3 linked regions of the Caenorhabditis elegans genome follow. The protein of the gene in region 1 interacts with the protein of each later gene in a pairwise test. Each region holds a gene or a part of one and is shown in the gene's direction. Other genes may lie near its edges. The genes, in order: dhs-14, ech-8 and C05G5.5.

Region 1 (6,565 bases):
TGTATTCCGGCTGGCCGTACTGGAAAACCTGAAGAAATCGCATCACTTATCGCGTTTTTGGCTGATCGGAAATCGAGTGCTTATATCATTGGACAATCCATTGTGATTGATGGAGGGACCACTTTGGTTTTGGGAATGCCAAGTCATGATTTGTCGAAAGCTTTGGCTTAAATTTTTGTTCATATTTTCCTTTTTTTTTTGATTTGGGAATAAATACAGACTACCTTAATTCAGAATGGTGCGTCGCATAAGGAAAGGCGCTTTTTTTCAGAGAAAAGTATTTTGGCAGAAAATTTAAAATATGGATGTGTCCGAAATCGTATAGAAAGTTCTAGTTCTTTTTTTAAATATTTAATGTTTTTCTTGCAAAATTGTTTTCGGACAATTTGAATTTTCTACCAAACTGTATTCTGTTAAAATTTGAATTTCGCGCCAACACATTTTTTTTCTGGAAAATATTAATATTCCTCTGAGGGGGGGGGGGGGGGCTGAGCGCCTAATGTCGTTCGGCGAATTCGGCAAATTGACAAAGTGCCGGTTTGCCGATTTGCTAGAAATTTTTAATTCCGGCAAATTACTGGTTTGCCGATTTGCTGATTTGTCAGATTTGCCGGAAATGTTCAGAGGGATTTTTTAAGACGGAAACACTTGGCCTTTTTGAAATTTTTTTCCGTTTCCTTTCGATATTTTCATCGAATTTTCTTACTTTTCAAAAGATGTACGAACAGGATGCACGCAATTTTTCCGATTGAAATTAAAATTCTGAAATTTCCAAAAAAAAATGTGCAAAACCACAATTTGCCGATTTGCGGCAAAATTTTCAATTCCGGCAATTTTCCGATTTGCCGGAAAAAATGATTTGCCGCCCACAGGTACAGACGACAAAATTATAGAATTGTGTAAAAAATAACACTCACCACGCTTCTTGCCAAACGTTTTTCTTTTGATAAAAAGATCACATAAACTACGACTTTTATCTAGTTTTATCTATTGCAACTGATACGTTAGGACACAAAGCACACTTTGTAAGATTACTTAAAAGAAATTGAGAGAAACTATCATTTATTCGTGTGTTTTCTGCTGGCCATGCTTTCTCGATTTTCTGGCAAAGTTGCACTTGTCACCGGTAAGAATTGTTCTGTTTTATGTTTCGAAAATAGAGGTTTAGGCTCGTCAAACGGAATTGGGCGTGCTGCAGCTGTTCTGTTCGCAAAAGACGGAGCAAAAGTTACAGTTACTGGAAGAAATGCTGAAAGGCTTGAAGAAACTAGACAGGAAATTTTGAAGTCAGGAGTTCCGGAAAGTCATGTTTTGTCGGTTGCAACTGATTTGGCAGCTGAAAAAGGTCAAGATGAACTAGTTAATTCTACAATTCAAAAATTCGGGCGCCTTGATATTCTGGTCAACAATGCCGGAGCAGCTTTCAACGACGATCAAGGACGTGTTGGAGTTGATCAAGATGTCTCAGTTTACGATAAAATTATGCAGATTAACATGAGAAGTGTGGTTACTTTGACTCAAAAAGCCAAGGAGCATTTGGTTAAGGCTAAGGGAGAAATTGTCAATGTCTCGAGTATAGCTGGAACAGCTCATGCGGTAAGCTAGGTTAAAGCATATTATGACCTCCGGTAGTTTTTGCTCTGGTAAGACTTAATGATCTAGGAAAAATTAGATTTCGGGGAATTTTATTACTCGCCGCTGACTTAATTTTAGAGTAGTTTGATCAATCGAAAATCAGTTTTGCAAATCGAATTATTGCCTGGTAGCCTAGTAGGAGTGAGCGGCAATCGGCGATCGGCGATCGGCGATTTCTGTAATTTTTCGGCCTGTTGCTCAGCCCTGCTGGTAGCCTGGATTCCCGTCCCCAAATATGAGTATTAAAATTTGCATGTTTCCAGCAACCCGGAGTTATGTACTACGCAATGTCAAAGTCGGCTCTCGATCAATTCACCAGGTGTGCAGCCATCGATCTTATTCAGTACGGGGTACGCGTGAACTCGGTGAGCCCGGGAGGTGTCACTACCGGGTTTGGAGAAGCTATGGGTATGCCGAGTGGGGCGTTTGAGGAGGTGAACATAAGACACAAATTCCTAGAATTTTTCGAGTTTTCAGATGATGAAGTTTATGGAGTCCCGCAAGGAGTGCATCCCTTCTGGAGCTGTAGCTAAACCAATCGATATTGCCAATATTATTGCGTTCTTGGCTGATCGTAAGCTTTCTTCCTATATTATTGGGCAGTCGATAGTAGCTGATGGAGGATCTACACTGGTCTTGGGAATGAATGCTCACAACTGGGCGGATCTTATGAAGCAATCTTAAATTTTGTTGGATTTAGTGGTGAATAAATATTGGAACTAGTGATTTTGTTGTACAAAACAGGGATGGACGGCAAGCTATGTTTTCCGGCAAATTGGCAAATCGGTAAATTGGTAAATTGGGAGAATTGATATTCCGGCAAAAATTCAAATTGTCAGAATTGAAATTTTCGGTGAAACGGCACACTGCGGGAATTAAAACTTCCGGCAATCAGGCAAGTCGTCAAGCTGCCGGAATTGAAATTTCCGGCAAATATTCAAATTGCCGGAATTGAAAATATCCGGAAAAATGGCAAACCGGCAAATTGCCGGAATATAAACTTCCGGCAATCAGGCAAATCGTCAAACTGCCGGAATTTAAATTTCTGACAAATCAGCAAATCGATAAATTGCCGGAATTTAAAATATTCGGAAAATCGGCAAACCGGAAAATATTCGATTTGCTGAATTCGCCGGGAAACGGCAATTGCTAAAAATTGTCGGCAAATTGTGGTTTTGCAAATTTTTTTTTGAAATTTTAGAATTTCAATTTCAATCGGCAATATCCTGTGAATGTTCCTACATACAATTTAAAAATTAAGCAAATTCTATGAAAATTTCTAAAGAAAACGGGGAAAAAAATTTAAAAAGGCACAGTTTTAAGTGTTTCCGTCTTATAAAAAATCCCTCTAAAAACGGTAAATCGGCATTTTACCAATAGTCAAAATTTCCGGCAAACCGGCAAATCGAAAAATTGCCGGAAATTAAAATTTCTGGCAAATCGGCGAATCGGAAAATTGCCGGAAATTTAAATTTCTTTAAAATCGGTAAGCCGAGCGGTAGAGGGCTACATCGGGCATGTAATGTAATCGTGCAGAATAACATCGGTCAAAAAATTGGTTCGAACCACCAAAAAAGGAATTTCCATTTTTGTGGTATCAAAAGTCTAGTCATTATTTATTGACATAATATTTTTATTTTCTTATCAATATAAGCTGCCACAGTTTGCTTAAAGCACATCACAGACCACATTTCAACAAAAAAATCACGCAATAAAAGCATTGATTATCAGTATCAATATTTAATTTCTACACTACTGCTATGACTCGATTCTCTGGCAAAGTTGCTCTTGTGACAGGTATTTTTTTCAAATTTATTTTTCTTCATTTTTATAATGAATCATTGAAGGCTCCTCAAACGGAATAGGTAGAGCCACTGCTGTACTTCTGGCTCAGGAAGGAGCAAAAGTTACGATTACTGGAAGAAATGCTGATAGGCTTGAAGAAACTAGACAGGAAATTTTGAAGTCAGGAGTTCCGGAAGATCATGTTTTGTCGATTGCAACTGATTTGGCGACTGAAAAAGGTCAAGATGAACTAGTTAACTCTACAATTCAAAAATTCGGGCGCCTTGATATTCTAGTCAACAATGCCGGAGCGGCTTTTAATGACGATCAAGGACGTGTTGGAGTTGATCAAGATGTCTCAGTTTACGATAGAATTATGCAAATTAACATGAGAAGTGTGGTTACTTTGACTCAAAAAGCCAAGGAGCATTTGGTTAAGGCTAAGGGAGAAGTTGTAAATGTTTCGAGCATCGGAGCAGGACCACAGGCTGTTAGTTCCTTTTCTCTTCACTTTTTTACCCACTTCTGTATTTTAGCAACCAACTTTCATGTATTATGCAATGTCAAAAGCCGCATTGGATCAATATACCAGAAGTGCTGCCATCGATCTTATTCAGTACGGGGTTAGAGTCAACTCGGTGAGCCCTGGAGCTGTAGTGACAGGTTTCGGAGAAGCAATGGGAATGCCTGCTGATATGCATGAGAAGGTGAGAAGCCTCATAGTAGGCAGGCACTTTTGCAGATCTGCCTACTTAAAATACAAATCCTTGACACGTCATTTTACCAAAATTTAGTTGTAGGAAAATCTGATTTTTTACCACTTGTTCAAAAATATTTTGAACAATCTTTTTAAATCTTTTTAAATCTTTTTAAGCAGGAAGGTAGGTAGGTGAAGCCCAGGGTAGGTTTTACAAGCTCTTAAAATTATTCAATTTTCCATTTTTCAGTATGGACATTTCATGGAATCTCGCAAAGAATGTATTCCTTGCGGAAAAATGGGGCAACCCATCGACATTGCCAATATAATTGCGTTCTTGGCTGATCGAAAACTCTCTTCATACATTATTGGACAGTCGATTGTGGCAGATGGAGGTTCGACTTTGGTAATGGGAATGCAGGCACACAATTTTATGGATCTTTTGAAACAATAATTTTTGTATACATTTTTTTAAAAGTAAATTGTTTTATTAAAGTTTTTAACAGGCAACTAAAAAAATTTCCGTTTGAGTTAACTTTGACGGATATAATCCACAAACATGAGCCTAGAGTAAAACCTGAAGTGAAATTAAAAAATAAAAATAATTCCTATGATTTTCCCGTATTTTTTCAGTTTTGGAAAAAATAGCTTTTGGTCAAATACTGCAATTTTCTCTAACAACCTTCCGTACAAGGTAGCCTACTTTGTTTAACATTTTCTGGTATAAATTACTATTGACAGATCCATTTTTAAAAACATGCTTTATTGGATGCCACTGAATCTGAAAAAAATATATAAATTTTAATTATTACGCTTAGGCGGTATATATATTATAGGCTTATCCTTAGGCTTAGGCGGGGCTGGGGGTGGATAAAAATTGAGACTCTCCAGCGAGAAATTGGAGTTTTGAACCTGAAAAAAATCTTGAAATATGAGAACTTTTCGGTTAGACAAAAATCTAGCTCGAAATATTTCACTCTGTTTTTGAAATTCTTATCTATTTTTCTTCAGTTTTCCTGTAGAATGAAAAACAATTTTTCAAAAAAAAACATATCTATTCTCATTGAACAACTTCACAATTTCCAATGGAAAATACACTCTTTTTCACTGTGCTGGAACAATTATTTGTGTCATTCGCAATTTTCGATCTCTCGGACACAAAATCTGCGTCTCATCAAAACCCTGCGTCTCTCTGTTTTGTTTGACACTACGGCAACTACGAAAACAATGTCATCACAAAACCAGAGAGTATAAATAGTCAGCATTTAATCGGATGGGTACAATTTCCAAAAAATGCCACGTTTTTCCAACAAGACTGTTATTATCACCGGATCTTCCAACGGAATCGGACGTACCACTGCTATTCTCTTCGCTCAGGAAGGTGCAAACGTAACGATCACCGGAAGAAGTTCAGAGCGTCTTGAAGAAACTAGGCAGATTATTCTGAAGTCCGGAGTTTCCGAGAAGCAAGTTAACTCGGTTGTTGCCGATGTTACTACGGAAGATGGGCAAGATCAGATCATCAACTCGACTCTGAAACAGTTTGGGAAAATTGATGTTTTGGTGAGTAATTTTTGAGTTGAATTTGTTTTTAACAGTTAATGAAAATTTGACGGCCCGGTAGATTTTCTGAAAATTGGAAATTTACGTTTGAACAATTTGCCGTAAGGCGGTCGCACGCGCGCTTTATGTACAGAGCGCTTGATAACCCTGAAGAAATCTGCTGAAAAATTTTTTTATATCGACGATTTAACATGTATTGATAATTTTTTTGAGGGAAAATATATGGAAATTAAACAAAAAAATGTAGTGAACGAACTATCAAAACTAGGTTTTTCATCTGTGCCGGTGTCCAAAGAGTCTCGGATTTAGATCTATAATTTCAGGTGAACAATGCTGGTGCTGCAATTCCCGACGCATTCGGAACAACTGGCACAGATCAGGGCATTGATATCTACCACAAAACACTAAAATTAAACCTTCAAGCCGTCATCGAAATGACTAAGAAAGTGAAGCCACATTTGGTAGCCTCAAAAGGAGAAATCGTTAATGTTTCAAGTATTGTTGCAGGCCCACAAGCGGTTCGTTTTTTTTTAATTTTGTTACCAGGAGTTTCAAATTTCAACAAGCCTCCAATTCAATTAAAAAATTATTTCCAGCAGCCCGACTTCTTGTATTACGCAATTGCGAAGGCAGCCCTTGACCAGTATACCAGAAGTACTGCGATCGACCTCGCTAAATTTGGGATTCGTGTGAACTCAGTTAGCCCTGGAATGGTAGAAACCGGATTTACCAATGCTATGGGAATGCCTGATCAAGCTTCTCAAAAGGTTTTCTGAAAATTTTCAAATTTCTCAAATTGTAATTTGTTGTTCAGTTCTACAATTTCATGGCATCTCACAAGGAATGCATCCCAATTGGAGCCGCTGGAAAGCCTGAGCACATTGC
Region 2 (7,705 bases), on another chromosome or scaffold:
CACTATTTTCAGTCATTAATTTAAACAAGTACCACATAAAACTTAGCATAAAATAATTGTTCATTGTTAACTTGAGTACTCAAATATCACGTGGTGTCAGAATGTCCCATTTCGTTGTGATCTACAAAAAATGCGGGAGTTTAGACGTAGAGTTCTCAACTGATTTTGAATGGTTAAGAACGTGCTGACGTCACATTTTTTTGGGGAAAAAATTCCCGCATTTCTTGGAGATCAAACCGTTACAACCTGACACCACGTGAAATATAAGTATGAGGGAGTGTGCCAAGCAAGGGTTACTGTAGCTATCGTCATAAATATTAAAACCTAAATGCCATTTTAAAAAACCTAAAATGTGAATAGTTTTACATGTACATTTACAATATCTAGATTGAAGATGAATTTTAAAATAGAAAACGCGAAATTTGTTCATTTGGTGTTTTAATCTATTAAAAATACTTCACTTGTAATTGAAAAGTACCTAATCCTTGACCCCAACATATGTTATTGACATGTCCAAGGTGGTAATTGTTACAACAGGTGTGACCCAACACTCATCCTGTTGCTCTGCCATATAACCTCTCCTCCCAAGGTTTTTTGATTCATGTCAAAAATCGATTTATTTTTGATTTTACTCTCATTTTCTATAAATTTAAGTCTAGCTATTGACGATGAATGTTACATGACTGTGGTAAGATTTTGAGAAAAATTATTTTATTAATCTCAGAACAAATTTTTTTGTAGCCAGAAATAGGAAAACACTTTGGGTATGAATCAGAAGTACATTTAGTGAGAACAACGGATGAGTATATTCTGGAACTTCACAGAATCCCATGTAAACAAAATGGTAAGTCTGTCATTTTAGTTAAAAATGTGACATTTGAAAATTAAATTTATTTCGTAAACGGAAACTTCAAAATGAAGTATCGGCAGTAGAGATTTTGTACAAGTTTTCTCATTGATTTTTAACATGGCCGATTAAACAAAATGAATAATTTCAGATTTCTCTTTGTTCCAGTATTGGTAAATTTCCAAACTGTCAACAAAAAAAAGAAGTTTTTGAATAATTTAATATACATTGAATTTTGCTGTGAATTACCTTTGATATCATCTCTAATATTTTTCAGAAAAATGTGACAGAAGCTCAAAACGTCCAATAGTATTCATGCAACACGGCCTCCTTGCGGACGGATTCTCTTGGATTCCGAATCTAGCAAATCAATCGGCTGGTTTTGTTTTCGCCGATGCAGGTTTTGATATTTGGATTGCAAATAGCCGTGGAACTCCTGCATCACAAAAACATATTGGCTATGGACCGGAAAATCAGAAATTTTGGAATTTCACGTGGCAACAAATGTCGGAATTTGATTTGACAGCGAGTGTGGATTTGGTATTGAAGGAGACAAAACAAGAGTTTTTATATTATTTGGGACACTCACAAGGAACTATGATTATGTTCTCAAGACTTGCAGAAAATCCAGAATTTGCAAAGAAGGTATTTCAATTTATTGCTAGACACAGAGAATTTTAAAACAAATCTAATTCGTTTCTAATTATAATTAGTCAGACAGTTTTTCGGCACCCGTGCGATGAAGGATGTATTTGACATGTTTTTGTATGACTACTCGTATTATGGGGTATTGTAGTTACAAACAGTACATTTTGTTGTGACTACTTATGTAGTTGCCGTAATCCAACATTTGTTTCTCAAGCTCATGCTTTGCACAAAATTGAAAATCACGATCAGTATATATTTATAGTTTCTGTATGCTAACAAACATTTTCTTTGTAGAAAGTTACATACGATCAGTTAATATGCTTTTAGTCTTTCTTTACCTCCTCAAAAGCAACAATAATTTAAGATTCGTCATTTCCATGCATTGGCTCCAGTTGCAACAGTATCCCATATCGGTGGTCTATTTGGATTGTTTGGGACAAAGTTTCTAACTTATGCAGAAATCTTGCTCGGTCGACTTCCATACTCTCCACTGTCAATTCCGCGAACTGTTCAAAAAATGATAAGTTACATGTGCAGCAGATTCTTTATGCAAAATATTTGTACATTGGACATCGGTTTCATTGATGGAAATGAGAAAATGTTCAATCAATCAAGAGTTGGTGTATATCTTTGTCATACACCTGCAGCCACTTCTGTAAAAGATTTGCAACACTGGATTCAACTTGTCAAATCACAGACTGTTTCTAAGTTTGATTATGGAACTGATGGAAATATCATTGAATACGGGCAACCTACTCCTCCGGAATATGATTTGACACAGATCAACACACCAACTTATCTCTATTGGAGTCGTGACGACATTTTGGCTGATACTCAAGATATTCGGTTAATCAATTATATTAGTTTTGATGTAACTAAATGAATGATTTGTAGAGACTCGATTCTGTCAAAAATGAATAAAACAATCGCTGGATCACTGGAACTTCCACACTACAGTCATATGGATTTTGTATTCGGTACGCATGCTGCATTTGATTTATATCCGGTAAGTCTGAAATCAAATTTCCTACTGAATAATATCTTTTCATTAACGTTAGACCGCGCATCTGTAATATTTACACTTTGTCAAATTTTGGTAAAACCTTTTGATTTGGTTTTGATCAGGCCTTGGTAAAGACTTCATGTGTGCGTTCTGGAAGGTTAAAAAAAATGAAAGTTGGTGGGTCAGACTTAGGTCACCTCATATTTGAAATCTGTAACACGTTCCGAGCAAAGTTTGACCAATTTCTGGCCAAGGTGTATTCAAAATGTGGTCACTCTTTCTAGACATTGAACAGAAAACATTTGAAAAGGAACGGCTTCTGCAGAAATTCTCTCTAACATAAATTAATAGAGTTCCAAAATATTTCAATTCCTTATTTTCCCACTTTTTCGTTTTTGAGCAATGGTCCAAATTTTCCAAAATGCCGGGTTTGGTTGTTCTTAATGTTATATTCTTATTTTTGAAATTACATAATAAGGAGTTATTTAAAAACAAATTTATTCCAGAAAATCATCGAAACTATCCAAGATGACTACAACAAATATCGAATCACTCGGATGCACAAATTGAAGAAACATTTATGATTTTTCATCGATTTTTTTTCAAAAATAAATAAAACCGTGTTTTATTGTTGTTTTAATGGCCAAAATGTACCTATAGGCTACAATGTTCTTCTTATCAATTGATCGCTAACGTGGGACACATCTGGCATATATCAATGCAATTTCTTTAGATCTTTTAATTCGTTACAATTGGTTTTATTTTGAAATTTAGATTTTTGAAATTCAGAAAAATGGATAAAGTGCCACAAGCAGTGAGGGACTATTTGATGGAGGCTCATCAATTGGCGGCTCAGGTAACTTTGAAAACTAAAATAATAAAGTTTTTTGAATGAGAAATTAGTTATTTTCCGCTTTTCCGTATCCGTGGGCACTCTGTAGATTTGTGAATTGTTTGTTTTTGGTATTTTTCAGTGAGGGAAGACCACTTTTCGGCAGAATTTTGAATTGAGCAATGGTAGAAATCACTAAAACGATATCGTTTATAGTATATAGAGAACAGAAAATAGCTGAAGTTACAGATTTCGATTTCATTGATAATATAAAATATTAGTTCATCCGGCAAACATCGGAATAATATTTTTTTAAAGTATTTTTCAAATATCGAAGAGCACGACTATATGATTCAATGGCAAAATTCTAAGTTGTGGTGAAAAATAATAATAAACAAGAAAATCCCTTGATTAGTCAGTTGCCAAAATTTTTGAAGAACTTGCTCGAGAAAAACGCGCATTTTTACACTTTGCAAAGTTTTTCAGCATTCAGCTTTAACAATATCTGAAAATCACAATTTTTTTACATCAGAATATGAAAATTGATCATTTCAGTGGTCTCTTCCAAATGATCGCGGTGACTACATAAATTCGAAATCAATTCCAATCAAATCAGTGGCTGTAATTGGAGGTGGAACCATGGGAAGAGGAATTGCAATCGCATTTTGTTTATCAGGATTTGAGACGTATCTTGTCGAAGTTAACAATAAGGTAGCCATAAAGTTTAAAAATAATATCAATTCAGTTAAACTTGTTTGCAGGCTGCCGAATTCTGTAAAAATGAATTGGAAATCACTTACAAAAGGGAAAAAGCATTTCGAAGACTGAACGATTCAAAAGTTGAAAAATTGAGAAAAAATCTACAGATAACTACAGATTTTCAAAAGCTAAATAATTGTGATTTGGTGAGTTTTTGTTTTTATTTTCAAAAGAAAAAAAAAGAAAAATTTCAGATTGTAGAAGCCGTTTTTGAAGATATGAAACTGAAAAAGGAACTTTTCACTAAACTTGATAAAATTTGCAAACCATCATGTATTTTTGGAACCAACACATCAAGTTTAGATTTGAATGAGGTACGCTTTAAGTTAACTATTCCAAAAGAACATGTTCACTTTCAGATGTCATCAGTACTTAGAGATCCAACAAAAGTAGTTGGAATTCATTTTTTCAATCCGGCAAATTTGATTCGAATGGTTGAAGTGATCTACGGATCGAAAACTTCCTCCAAAGCAGTTGCTACAGCTTTTGAAGCATGTAGATCTATCAAAAAGCTACCAGTTCTTGTGGGAAACTGTCCAGCATTTGTATTTAACCGGCTACTTGGAGTTTATCTGAATCAGAGTCAAAAGTTGATGTATGAATACGGATATCTTCCTCATCAAATTGATAAAATCATTACAAACTTTGGATTCCTAATGGGTCCTTTAACAGTAGCTGATATGAATGGATTAGATGTAATGGAAAAGTTGAAAAAGGAGAATGGATGGCCAGCAAGTGATTTTGAAAAGGAAGTTTGGAGACAAAAGAGATACGGTAGAAAAACAAGTACGTCTTTAAATAAATTGTGAAATGAACTGAGAAACGGATAATTTCAATTTCTTTGGAGTATCACCAGCGGCAAATAGTTATACATAGGTTAAAAAACAAATACCTTCGCTCCGGCTATAAGAAAAGTTTGAAATATTTGACAAGCTGAAGTCTGAAATTTTTAAAATATTTTTTCAGTGGTAATGATAAGTGCCAATCAAAATTTTGAACGTTCCAGAAGGAAAACCGGAAATTATTGTTTTCAATTTATTTTTTCAAAATGAAGATTTTCAAAACTGTCACGAAAAGCCCAATATTTTTTACCAATTTAGGTGTAATTTTCAGATAAGGGATACTACAAATATGATCCAAATACTCACAAAAAGGAGAATGATATAGAAATGGAGCAGCTCATTCGAAAATTTTCTTCAGCTGCAAGTCCAAATATACAAATTTTGAACGATCAGGTACTCACTTTCTAATTTCATTCAAATTCAACCGAAAACTTACCAGGATGCCGTCAATTTCCTCTTGTATCCCATGGTCAACGAAGGTCTTTTGTGCATTGAGGAAGGAATCATCCATCATGAAAGTTTGATCGATATCATGTTGTAAGTAAAACTTAATTTCAAAAAAAAATTAAAATTATGAGCACAATTGTTTCAGCATTCTCGGGTTTGGATGGCCTGTTGCTACTGGTGGTCCGATGAGATTTGGATGGCTTCAAGGAATTGAAAAAGTTGCGAGCACAATTATTCTCTGGAATTCTTTAGAACCAAATGATAGAACATACAAAGTTGCGGCCACGTTGCAAAATGTGGACAGGAAGAATTTTGCAGCGAAATTATAAATTTTGTAGTTCGTTACCATGTTCAAAGAGATGATTATTGTAAAAACATAAATAAATACCCTGTATACAATTGATCTACTATGTACAAGAAATGACATGCTGGGGATTATAAATTTTGTCGAAAGTTTGATGCAAATCAATCTGCAAGACCAATTGCCCATCTCTAATTCTGAAAATTAAAATGTCTTCTGTATTTTTTTGGATAAACCCCGTGAGGTGCACAAATAATAATTATAAAAATAAAAGTACGGTACATTTAGCGAAAAACGGATCTTGAGACATTCAATTGTACACTTATCATTATTATCAGTAACATGGATTTTGTGGGCGTTTTTCGTATTTCAACCGGACAAGCACTGTCATATGAAATCAACCCTTACTCTTAGACATTTGAGCTTGAAAATTGATAAGAAAGTGGAAGTAAATGTTGCCTTACAGAATCACAAAAATCAACATAAAGACTGCCTTGCTGAAATGACGTTTTGTATTAAAAAATATTACTGATTGTGTTGGGATTAAAAATTTGATATCAAAACGAAAAATACTTGGTAAATAGGTAGAACACACATTTTTTCAAGAAAAAAGTGTTTCCTCTGGTGCTCGATATGACCGACAATAAACTTCAAATTTTTAGCTGTACTCTGTAGGGCACAATAATTATATTTAAAAATTTCAGTTCAAGCCAACTTCTGTACAAAATCCACCTTTAAAAAATTTCAGACAACACTTTGTTGAGCCCTACCAGAGATACGCGTCCATCTGCATTATTTTTCAAAAAAGTTGGCGATAGTTTTTTGTTCGGATATCGTAATAATCTCACGATATGCTGCGCTATGAAAATTGGATGTTTTTCAAAGTATCAAAACAAGTTATAGCCTAACATCTTAATTTAGTAAACAACTCCAAATAAATCACATATGTATGTACATATACAGATAAGAAACAATAAACTATACACAGAAATATTCACAAGGCACATGTTTGCACTTGATTTTTGAATTATCTAGATCTAGACGGAATTTCGTGTTTTACTCTTAAACAAAGACGACAGTGTACTGAAAGCACCAAAGTCTCATCAGCTCTTATCATCAATGAATCAACAAACAGACAGTGACAACATCGACTAGATCATTTTCTGTCCGGGAACTTCACGGACGAAATGTCGGGACAAAATCCTCTTTGTTATCACTAACGAAATATTTGGAAAAGTGGGCAGTAAAAACGTGATATATTACAAATGAAAAGTACCTATAAAAGGGTGGTCTGAAAACTCTGAAAAAATATTAACTGTATCGTGTTTAAATTTTTCAAACATTTTTTAAACTTGTATAAACAATGTTGTTCAGCCGATTAAATTTTTATACTCCAGAATTGAAAACAATCAAAAAATGGGCAAAGTTCCAGAAGAAGTCAGAAGCTATTTGATGGAAGCTCATTCCTTGGCGGGACAGGTGATTTCATTTCCAATTAAATTATTTGAATTGTATACTTCCAGTGGTCTCTGCCAAATGATCGAGGTGATCACACGAATTCTGAAGCTTATGATGTAAATTCCGTAGCAATTATTGGCGGTGGAACTATGGGAAAGGCAATGGCAATCTGCTTTGGTTTAGCTGGAATTGAAACTTTTTTGGTAGTACGAAATGAGCAGGTGATATAGATCTTTAAAAAAAAACATAATTTGTATTTTTATTTTCAGAGATGCAAGCAAGAGTTGGAAGTTATGTATGCTCGGGAAAAATCATTCAAGAGATTAAACGACAAAAGAATCGAAAAAATCAATGCAAATCTGAAAATAACATCAGATTTCCATAAGCTTTCAAATTGCGATCTTGTTTGTTAAATACTTTAACGACATTTTTTAAATGTAAAATTGTAGATTGTTGAATCAGTAATTGAAGATATGAAATTGAAAAAGGAACTATTCGCCAACCTCGAGAACATCTGCAAATCAACTTGCATTTTTGGAACAAATACTTCAAGCTTGGATTTGAATGA
Region 3 (10,406 bases), on another chromosome or scaffold:
ATTACATTCTTTAGCAGGTTTTCATACTCTGTATGGACTGTTGTACCGAAAATTTTGAAAGAAATATAAAGTCTGAAATATAAAACCTAAGGTCCTTTTGAAAATGATAAATAAAAGTATATGCAAAAAAGATTTTGTAAACCCATCAGACTTTTCAGGTAACTTCTCCACGTCAACCATGGTACTACCAACAAGGAAGCCAATACGTTACAACCATTGCTGGATATGCCAAGTCTTGGACTCAAAACTTGGTTCAACTCACTGTCAAGGGATCAGGTCATTTCGTTCCTTCTGATCGTCCAGCTCAAGCTCTTCAAATGCTCACCAATTTCTTGAGCAATCAGGCTAATTACAGCACTCCGGCTGGAGTGAGTTTATTGATATAATATTTTTAAGTCAACCCGTCGTTACAGATTGATGTGACCCCTCAGCCTCTGACCAATGTGATTTCTCAAACTAACTGCACAACTGGACAAACTGATCGTATCATTAATCTGCCTGGTCTTCCAGCTGATATGTTGTTTAAGCAATATTCCGGATTTTTGGATGGACTTTCAGGACACAAGGTTCATTATTGGTAAGACAGTTTACTGGGCTGTATTGAATCATATTAATAATTGAATAGGCTTGTTGAATCTGAAAACAACCCATCAACCGATCCTCTTTTGCTCTGGCTCAATGGTGGACCTGGATCCAGTTCTTTGATGGGATTGTTCGAAGAGAACGGTCCATTCCGTGTTAGCAAGGACTCGCAGACACTTTCTCGTAACCCATATTCATGGAACAAGGTACAAACAGTTTTTATATTTAGCAATATGTACATATCAACTGTAAATTTTCAGTTTGCTAATGTCTTGTACTTGGAAAGTCCAATTGGAGTTGGGTATTCCTATGCCTATAACAACACCAACATTCAGTATGATGATGTTACGGTAAGAACCTTTAAAAATTCAAACTCCAAGTTAAAATTAATTCTTGCAGACCGCTCAAGAAAACTATGCTGCTCTCAAGAGCTTCTTTGCTCAATACCCTCAATACACTACATCTGATTTCTACACCACTGGAGAATCCTATGCTGGAGTTTATCTCCCAGGACTTTCTGCTCTTCTTGTACAAGGAATCAAATCTGGCGATATTAATATTAACTACAAGGGAGTTTCCATTGGAAACGGAGTCATCGACAAGAGAACTGACATGAATTCTCAACTTCATTACCAATATTATCATGGTGGAATTTCTGCAACGTATGTTTCCGGATTATCGTAACTTAGTATATGTTTTTTATTGCAGGACTTACAACACTGCCTTGCAGTTGTGCTGCTCTGGAGATGAGTTCAAGTGCAGGTTCAGCGACCGTATGACAAACTTCAACAACTCGATTCCCTGGGGAGACTTGAGCGATCCATGCTACGACTTTGTAATTCTATTCGAGTTCATGATATGTGAAACAAAATTAAATTTCAGGTCGTCGCTACTGGAGCTCAACTTCTGTTGACCGCTTTTGATCCATATAACATGTACCAACAATGCTGGACTATTCCGTACAATGATACTACTCCACGTACTCCATACGGAGAGACTTGGGTGAGATCATTCGGAAAGTTTGAGAAAAAAATTATTTATTCAAATTTTAAGACCGGAATCAACTATGAATCGTCCGATTTCTTGAATGGTTACCCTTGCTATGATGACAGCGCGATGGAGGGATACTTGAACCGTCCAGTTGTTAGAAAAGCACTCAACATTCCAGATTCCGTTCCATACTGGGCTGCTAACAAGTATGCACCTAATTTAAGATTTTGAAAAAACTATTTGAAATTTCAGCAACATTATTAATGCCTACAATCAGCAAGTGGATAGCATTGTTCCAAATCTTCAAATCATCATGGCAAAGTACACTTAATATTAGTTTTTGGAACCTACTAAAAATAGTTTTCAGCGCTCCTGCAAACTTTAAGATGCTTTTATACAGTGGTGATGCTGACACCATGGTGAACTGGCTTGGTGCAGAAATTTTCACAGCTAACAATTTTGCGGCATTGGGACTTACTGTATTTTTTTTAAATATACTTTTTTTTTAAATACAGTATTCTTTCAGACATCAAGCCCAAGAGCTCAATGGACATTCCAATATAACAGTACCTTCCAACCAACAGTTGCTGGATACCAAACTTCGTACACTTCAAACGCTATTAATATTGATGTGCTCACTGTTAAGGTATGCTTTTTAAGAATTAATATTTACTCATAATTTTGTTCCAGGGCTCCGGTCACTTCGTGCCACTTGATCGTCCACAGCAAGCTCTTCAAATGATCTACAACTTTGTGAAGTCCAGAGGTTACAACACTCCATTCGATCTAAATAGCAATTTTACTACAACAACAACAACATCCACCACCACAACAACACCAGGAACTGGACCTACAGTAACAGCAGCCCAAACCACCACAACAACGCCAAGCACTCCAGGCGCCGGTACTACAGGAACACCAGGAACTGGACCTACAGTAACAGCAGCACCAACAAACGGCATTTCAACTACACAACCAATTATTACAACAACTAAAGGTGCTGAAGGCAGAGGAGTCTTGACAATTATGGCTACAATTCTTTCAGTTTTATTGTTCAATTAAATGGAAAAAACTTGTATCTATTAATTTTGCTTGTCTATGCACATTGTATTCCAAATAAATTATTAAATAGAAATACTTCATTATACTATTATAAATTATTTGAGATATGTAATACATATGCATATGGCTTTATTATGGTCATGCTTTTCAAAGTTATTAAATTTTAGGCAACTTTTAAACCAAAATATACTTGGAAAAATTTTTTATTTAATTTTCGGAGAAGAAGTAGTGTCTGTGGGTTTTTTGCCATCTGAAAGTTTGTAAATGAAAATAAAGTTATAACGTGAGTCTTTAGTCTTTGAATGTGACAAATGATGTTTTATATGATAAAACAACAAAGATAAAGAAAAGAAAAAAACCCGATGAATATAGACCGGAAAAACACACTCATTTCCACTGGAGTTTAAAAATAATTCCGGATTGTGGCCGATAATACGGTCGTAGATTGCTCCACTTCCCAATAGAGGCTGGGTGATCCTGGTGGTGAGGCCGGACTTGAACTCGTGGCCTCCAGATTGCTAGCGGTTACCACTACCGATTGAGCTATCCTGCTCCCTTATTTACACCAAAATTAATAAAATCATTACATTTTTTAAAATAAAGTCTATGAACTGTTGTTTTGTTTTTTGTGCCATTTAAGGCAAAAAGGCCCACAAACATTACTTCATAAGAACTTTTTTTAAAAGTTGGTACATATAATGAATTTCCACCAAGAAAACATATTCCCGTATGTCCAATAGTTTACAATTCCCATCGCTCACCAATACCTACCGGTGTTTATTCAAACAGTGCACATCACAAGACAGATCAATATGGTGGACCACACTCACACCTAACCCCGCCCTCGGATGCGTAAACGCACCCTGCCAGCTCCGTCTCGAGCTGCTACCACCACCACCTTTTCACGCCTCCGAAAACTTTGCTTCCTTTTCTGTCGTGTTCTTTTTTCTTCCGCACCACCAACTGCTGTAGGAGTCCGCTTTTGTGTCTCTTTTGTTTATTTATTTTTGAAAGCTTTTTGAGATACTACTTACTCTTCTGTCTACTCTATTCGCATTTTTGACACGTCGAGATGACCTTTTATATACTAGTTGTATCTTTATATTTATCATTGTTTCTAGTAACTGTTGTACAGTCCGATTGTGATACCGATGTTGAACAGGTGAGGTTTCACTGATTTATTACATTTTTTAGGTTTCAAAAATGCTAGTTTTCCGACAACTCATTCAAAACATCAGAACTGTAAAAATAAATGTACTTACCAGGTTACTGGTATATTTCCTTCAAAATAATCTAGCTCACAATAGTCAGCAAATCAATGTGAAATTTTGTTTAATTCGAAATAGGGTTTTAGGACTAAAACCGTTAATAAGAAGGACAAGCCCAGAGCTAAATACTGCTCGTTTTACATCTTCTGTTTTTTCATTAATCTTAAAATTTAAATATTTTAAAAGTTGAATATTGAGTAAAAATCCTTAATGGATTCCAATTTGTATAAAAATTGTATAAAAAGCTATCAAAATTACAAGAACAAGTCAAATAAAAATCTAATATAATTTTCAATATTTTTGTTTCAGAGGGAAAGAAATATATTCTTGTGGTCAGTAAAACATCCCCAGTTCGCATCATCTCAGGGATATCTTTTTGGTACAATTCATGTGCCATTCACCGAGGTTTGGAAGGAAGGTAGGAAGATCAAAATGAAATAGTCATGACGCCAACTAATAATTCATATTTTCAGTGAGCGACCGAGTGCGTGATGCATTTGCGGTGTCAGACACAGTTCTCTTGGAAATTGATTTACATGATGAAGCAACAATTCATGAGTTGATAGCTTGTAAGAACTTGGCATATGATGAGACTGTGCACTCTTATCTTTCCATTGAATTATTGGAAAGAATAGAGAAAAGTGAGTGAATAATTTATTAAGTTTTCATTTGAAAAATCTCAAAAAAATATTCTAGTTATGGAATATCTTCGCTCAAGTTTCCTTGCCTGGGCCCAGAAACAAAATCCACGGGACACAAAGAAGATAAAGCATGCTGAAGATATCTACAACAATATCATAGGTATTTCCACCTTCTCTCGTCCTTTATATGTATTAGTACGCGGAACACGTGTTTGCTTTCTACTCTCAAAAATATACGTTTGTTCGAGTGGCTTGTTCACGAGAGTCAGCCCAAATAGTAGACCAAATAGCTACCAGATGGTAAATATGAGACCAGATGATTTTAGCACCTCACGGGTGTTTTGAGACAATGAGGTAACATTGTGATGCAATGTTTTTGTGCAGAGATAATAGTGTCGACGGCGCATAATACAATAACCACAGTAATGAAATACTACTAATTTTTGTCGAAAAGAATGATGCTTGTAAAGAAAACAAATGTTCCTTCTTTCTTTTAAATTTCCACATCAATCTTATTCCTGTAAGAAAAAAATATTTCATTTTGCCACACTCATAGTATCTAGTCACAGAGGGACATTTTGAACTTGAACATAGTTGATATGAACTTGTTTTAGGTTATGTTTTAATGAAAATAGAATGTTTGAAACAATTTCCGGAAGAATTTTTTTCATATATAATTCTGCGTCAGGATTATTTGTGAACTTATGAACAACTTGGTATTTTTTAAAGGTGATGTAGTCAAATGTTTTATTGCTTTGTTAGACTCAAAATTGTCTGAAAACACCGCATTTCATAATGAAACTTCTTGAAAACTTCTCAAAAAAAAGTTATGACAGCTCAAATAATGACCTAAAATTTGTTAAAATTTGAAATTTGACCGACTTGTCAATGTCGCAGCGGCTGGAAACTAACTTTTTAGAAATCGCGGTCTAATGTTGGTTATAACAGTTAATTATCGTGCGTTTTCGACTCGATTTCGGTACATTGAAGGTCGATGTACAACCAGAAGTTACCAAATTTTGGTCAAATCTGGTCGTCGATTGACCTTAAATGTATGTTAATAGAGTTGAAAACAAAAATTTTCAGTTTTTCCAACAAAAAAATGTTTTGATCTAGTTGTCTGAAAGACGTTTCAGATTGTAATAAAATCCGACAAACTTCCAAAATGCTCCAAATCATCACACTTTTCAGTCCTCGAAACTATACGAGAAAATGACACACTGAACATTTATCATTTTTTTATATATTTTTTTTTATATATTTATTCCATTCCAGCTAAAAATGTGCCTGCAAGATCAGAAAGACTTTTTCAGAAAGTACTGAAGTTTAATAAAAACCATATCACAATCAGAAATTGAATTGAAAAATATGGAGATTGCTCAAGTGACATTCAAAAAGTTTAATATGTTTGAATAATTCATACAAAAATTGACAACCTCATAAGTTAATATCTCTATTAGTCGTGCACCTTTTTTCATATTTTCTTATGCTTCTGCTGGTTAAATACGGTGTACAAGATAAATAGATTTGTTGTATTTTGTGTTCCTTTCTTCCTTTCCATTGAATGTTTTTCAGGAGATTGGTGGAGAAAACGCCCAATTTGGTTATTATTTCTGCTCTATCAAATGTGCGAAAATGTGTTTGAAAAAAGTTCAAGTCCATTACTAGATTTGTACATTGCACAAAGAGCCACCGACGAGAAGAAGACAATTATCCCGATTGAAACCGCCGAGGAGCAATGCAATCCAGTTGTTTCAGTTTCTACCAATGAAGTTAGTGTTTTTTTTCCTTCTGGACATCGTGAGATTTCCGGAAGCACTTCATAATTCTGAGTGTATTCACACCGATAAAAGACAAATGTGTTAGTGAACGCAAACAATAACGTGTCAAGTACTGGTTCAAAAGTAGGAAGGGTCCATTAGTCGCAGGAATAATAGAATGCGCAATATGGCAGAAAGATAATTGTCGTGTCGTTATGATGAATGTGGAAAAGTGTGAAAGCAAGGGGTTTACCGGGACAAAAGACTATGCTGCTCATTTTAGCTCAACAAGTGCTAAAACGGATGCATGGTTTTTTGTTTGCACCAATTATCAAAAAAAAAGTTCAAAGAAAAGTTTTTTGAACTTTTTAAAAAGAAGTAGCGGATGCCGGGAAATTACTGAAAAGTAGAACTGGCATATTTGGTGTCCGGTCGTCCGGTTTTGACAGACCGGACGCACGGCGTCTGGTTTTTAGAAATTTGAAAATTTTCAAAGGTGTAGGGTTTCACGGCGGCCGACCATTTCTGAGTTTAGCCACTCACTATACTTAATCATAGAATTTTATAATAAGTGGCTAAACTCGGAAATTGTCGGCCGCCGTGAAAGCCTACACCTCGGAACATTTTCAATTTTCCAAAACCGGACGCATGTGCGTCCGGTTCGGGCTCCTGACGTCCCATGTGCCAGCCCTACTGAAAAACACGAATGGTATATTAGAGTCACATTTGTTTTATTACAGATTATCTTTGCAATAGAGCATACTGTGCACTATTTTGAAGATAAAATCTTGGACAATCCATCAAAGGATAATGAGTCTAGAAGCAGTTTGAAAGAGCTCGTCGAACATTATAAGTGTGGGACTCTGAAGGAAGATATGTTTGATAAAGATGGAATGTCTATAATTGACTATGCAACTGGAACAACAGAACGGTTTAAAGCTGACGAGGTGAGTGAGTCAAAATCAAATTAAACACGCTGCAATGTTCACAATTACAGATCAACAAAAAGTTGAAGCAGGATATTTTTGTAAAACGAAATTTGAGAATGGCCAAACGGATAGAGAAGATTTTGAAGGGTCGAAATAGTAACACTGTATTTTCTGCAATAGGCGCTGGACACTTTTTTGGAAGCAGTAGTGTGTTAACATATCTTGAAGAGAGCGGATTTATAGTTCAGAAGTTAAAAAATACAGATGTGATGTGAGTTTTTCTTTTACTTATTCCATTTTGTAATCGAGACTAACATTTGAAATTTTACAATGTGCCAAAACACAGAAAATCCAAATAAATACGTTTTTAAAAATAGACCTGTGGATAAAAATAAAATTAGATCATTCAAAAATATTAATGAGTAAAACAAATGCAATGTGGAGTACTGCTTTGTTTTACGGATGTTTGCTTGTTTTTTTCTTTTTTAATTGAACTAGGGCTCACAGCTGAGTGAGACGCGAAATGCAGGCCTCACGCCGGCCTTACGCCGACGCCGCTGTGAGTGCGCAATGAAATGCTAAAGGTAGTTATTTGGAGCGGCCGACACGCTCGGGTTCCGCAGCTTGGCGTGAAATGAGTAGCTTGGTGTGTGCGAAGAAACAGTTTTTTGGAAGCGGCCGGCGTGTTCGGGGACCGCGCGGTACTATGCATTCGAATACATGCGGCTTGAGTGACGCCGTGAAGCCGGCAGAGGCACCGTTGCGGCGATCTCAAGGGAGACCTACATTGAATAATAACGAAAAAAATTGGTTTAACAGTTTTTCAAAGTTGAAGGAAGAAAGCTCTTAGTAACTCAGTAGGTACCTAGGTAAAGCCTTACATTTTTTCTATAGGAATCAGAATTTAAACAAGGGAAGAAACTATATAAAAGATACATAGGTCCAGTTGCTAAAATTTTTTAATGCAGCAGAAAAAATCGGTTTGATTAAATTTTGATTTTCTAAAATTTGGTAAATTAGTGTTTCAATAATGTTTTGAAAGATGATCGCGGTTTATGGGCATCGTGATCAGACGATTTACCAAACTTGAAAACCGCATGCGAATGAAACTTTACGGCGTTTGGAAATCATATCTAACCCACCGACATTCTTCTTGATTCTTGATCTGCAAATTTTCAGTCAACCCCTACGATCTCCCTACCGTCAAACCGCAAAGTTCAAACGTGTATGGACCAAGGAAACCGCAGTTCGTCGAAAATCAATAATCATCGAAGAAGTAGCACCATCGTCCAGTCGAATTGCTAGATTATGGCTAGTTCCGTGTATTTTTCTTTTACATTCCATCTTTGCCATTTTCCCATGAACAACTTTCAACTTTCAATCAATTGGTTTGCGACAACTGCAATTTTTCCATTTTATCGGAAAAATTCAGCCACACAGTTATCTAGAGGCAAACATATTAAAAAATTAGAGAAAAAGAGACAAGAAAGAGAGAAAAAAGAGAGAAGTCATAGAAATATTGAAATTAAAAACGCAAGATCACTAAAAAGTGTGTAAGCTATTTTCTTACAGAAAAGGGGGAGGGAGACAAGTTGAGTATTAAATCAGCGAGGGTTCCTGTTTAGATCTTTCCCAGGAAAGCGGTGGCCATGGAGGTTCCAAGTTTAGCTGGAGAGTCGGTAACCTGAAACAAATTATGGCATTTTTTTAGCAACCAAGTTTAATTTTTCAAAATATCTTTAAAAACCTGCTGACTTTTCAAGTTAAATTCTAAGGTAAATCGTCATGAACAAGGTGTAACTTCATAAATGTTCTAGATTATTTTGACAACTTTTGCAACAGAACACTGTATATCCCAAGCTTCAAAGTGCAGCTTTAAATTTTATTCTGGAAAAACGTAAAAACTTACTACTACTCCGGCTTCTCTAAGAGCATTGATCTTGTCAGCAGCGGTTCCCTTTCCTCCCGAAATGATGGCTCCGGCGTGTCCCATTCTTCTGCCTGGTGGAGCTGTGACTCCGGCAATGAATGAGACGACTGGCTTCCTGTTGGCTCCCGAGTTGTGCTCCTTAAGGTATGCGGCGGCCTCCTCTTCAGCTGATCCTCCGATTTCTCCGATGAGAATGATTCCTGGAAAATAATTGGTTTCATATTCTTTTTTTTTTTAATTTTTACTGGCTACTCTGGGTACTGATAAATACAAAATCACATTGTTTGAGTTCACATTAGGGTATTATTTTCATGAAACATGAGCTCACCCTTAGTTTCTGGATCCTCAAGGAAGACGTTCAAGCAGTCGATGAAGTTTGTTCCATTGAATGGATCGCCTCCAATTCCGACGCACAAAGTCTGTCCGAATCCGACTTGAGTAGTCTGGTGCACAGCTTCATAGGTGAGAGTTCCTGAGCGGGAGACGATTCCGATGCATCCCTACAAGTTCAGCAAACAGTTTTGATAAAATTTTTAATTGATAATTTCTGAACATGTTTTCGAAGTTCAACTTCACTTGAGAAGGATTTTAAAGGGTTCTACAACAATATTTATAACTTACTCTCTTGTGAATGTGTCCTGGCATGATTCCGATCTTGCACTGATCGGCCGAGATGATTCCTGGACAGTTTGGCCCAACAAGTCTTGTCTTGTTCTGCTTGAGAAGACGCGACTTAACACGGACCATATCGTGTTGTGGGATTCCTTCAGTGATGCACACCACCAATGGAATCTCGGCGTCCATGGCTTCCTCGATGGCGCTACCGGCAGCACTGGCTGGAACGTAGATGACAGAGGCGTCGGCTCCGGTCTTGTTGCGAGCTTCGGAGACGTTCTTGAAGACCGGGAGTCCCAAGTGCTCTGTTCCGGCCTTGTTGGCATTTACTCCACCGACGACTTTAGTGTTGTACTCGAGCATTTGCTTTCCATGGAAGGTACCCTGAAATTTTTGTGAATTTTTTTTTTGAAATACATATTTTCGATATTTTAAGAGTTCGCTATGCGCAAAGTATTGACGTCAAAAGCATATCTGAATACATTAAAATTTTATAGCCGTTGAACTTTGAAAACACTGAATTTAAAGTGAGTTGCGAAGACAGGCGTTTTCATTTTAAGATGTAATTTTTTATGAAGCTGAGTTGTGACCTCTATTTTGCATAAAGCGTATTGTCAGTGTTTGAGTTT

What was found.
Region 2: the proteins of dhs-14 (region 1) and ech-8 interact in a two-hybrid assay, tested with the Caenorhabditis elegans proteins (one large-scale study listed by BioGRID).
Region 3: the proteins of dhs-14 (region 1) and C05G5.5 interact in a two-hybrid assay, tested with the Caenorhabditis elegans proteins (one large-scale study listed by BioGRID).

The regions. Positions count from the first base shown.
Region 1 is NC_003283.11:2,762,025-2,768,589, reverse strand, and holds dhs-14 (DeHydrogenases, Short chain), read left to right. Parts: upstream 1-3,389; 5' UTR 3,390-3,395; coding exon 3,396-3,432; intron 3,433-3,482; coding exon 3,483-3,910; intron 3,911-3,956; coding exon 3,957-4,127; intron 4,128-4,367; coding exon 4,368-4,571; 3' UTR 4,572-4,609; downstream 4,610-6,565. Other genes in the region: dhs-15 (DeHydrogenases, Short chain), read left to right, coding at 1-171; cror-2 (DeHydrogenases, Short chain), read left to right, coding at 1,087-1,126, 1,169-1,596, 1,899-2,069, 2,113-2,319; dhsl-4 (DeHydrogenases, Short chain), read left to right, coding at 5,411-5,680, 6,004-6,198, 6,277-6,447, 6,495-6,565.
Region 2 is NC_003282.8:10,234,701-10,242,405, reverse strand, and holds ech-8 (Enoyl-CoA Hydratase), read left to right. Parts: upstream 1-3,229; 5' UTR 3,230-3,291; coding exon 3,292-3,354; intron 3,355-3,885; coding exon 3,886-4,041; intron 4,042-4,091; coding exon 4,092-4,235; intron 4,236-4,283; coding exon 4,284-4,403; intron 4,404-4,448; coding exon 4,449-4,875; intron 4,876-5,202; coding exon 5,203-5,324; intron 5,325-5,370; coding exon 5,371-5,468; intron 5,469-5,523; coding exon 5,524-5,707; 3' UTR 5,708-5,780; downstream 5,781-7,705. Other genes in the region: lipl-7 (Lipase), read left to right, coding at 602-688, 742-844, 1,125-1,492, 1,860-2,341, 2,390-2,501, 3,005-3,082; ech-9 (Enoyl-CoA Hydratase), read left to right, coding at 7,096-7,158, 7,203-7,358, 7,407-7,541, 7,587-7,705.
Region 3 is NC_003284.9:14,754,264-14,764,669, reverse strand, and holds C05G5.5 (Metalloprotease TIKI homolog), read left to right. Parts: upstream 1-3,548; 5' UTR 3,549-3,706; coding exon 3,707-3,796; intron 3,797-4,211; coding exon 4,212-4,320; intron 4,321-4,375; coding exon 4,376-4,543; intron 4,544-4,598; coding exon 4,599-4,703; intron 4,704-6,118; coding exon 6,119-6,315; intron 6,316-7,043; coding exon 7,044-7,250; intron 7,251-7,300; coding exon 7,301-7,503; intron 7,504-8,411; coding exon 8,412-8,595; 3' UTR 8,596-8,615; downstream 8,616-10,406. Other genes in the region: Y16B4A.2 (Carboxypeptidase), read left to right, coding at 159-368, 414-577, 626-788, 843-932, 982-1,244, 1,291-1,417, 1,465-1,584, 1,636-1,778 and 4 more; sucl-1 (Succinate--CoA ligase [ADP/GDP-forming] subunit alpha, mitochondrial), read right to left, coding at 8,854-8,916, 9,142-9,362, 9,491-9,662, 9,784-10,161.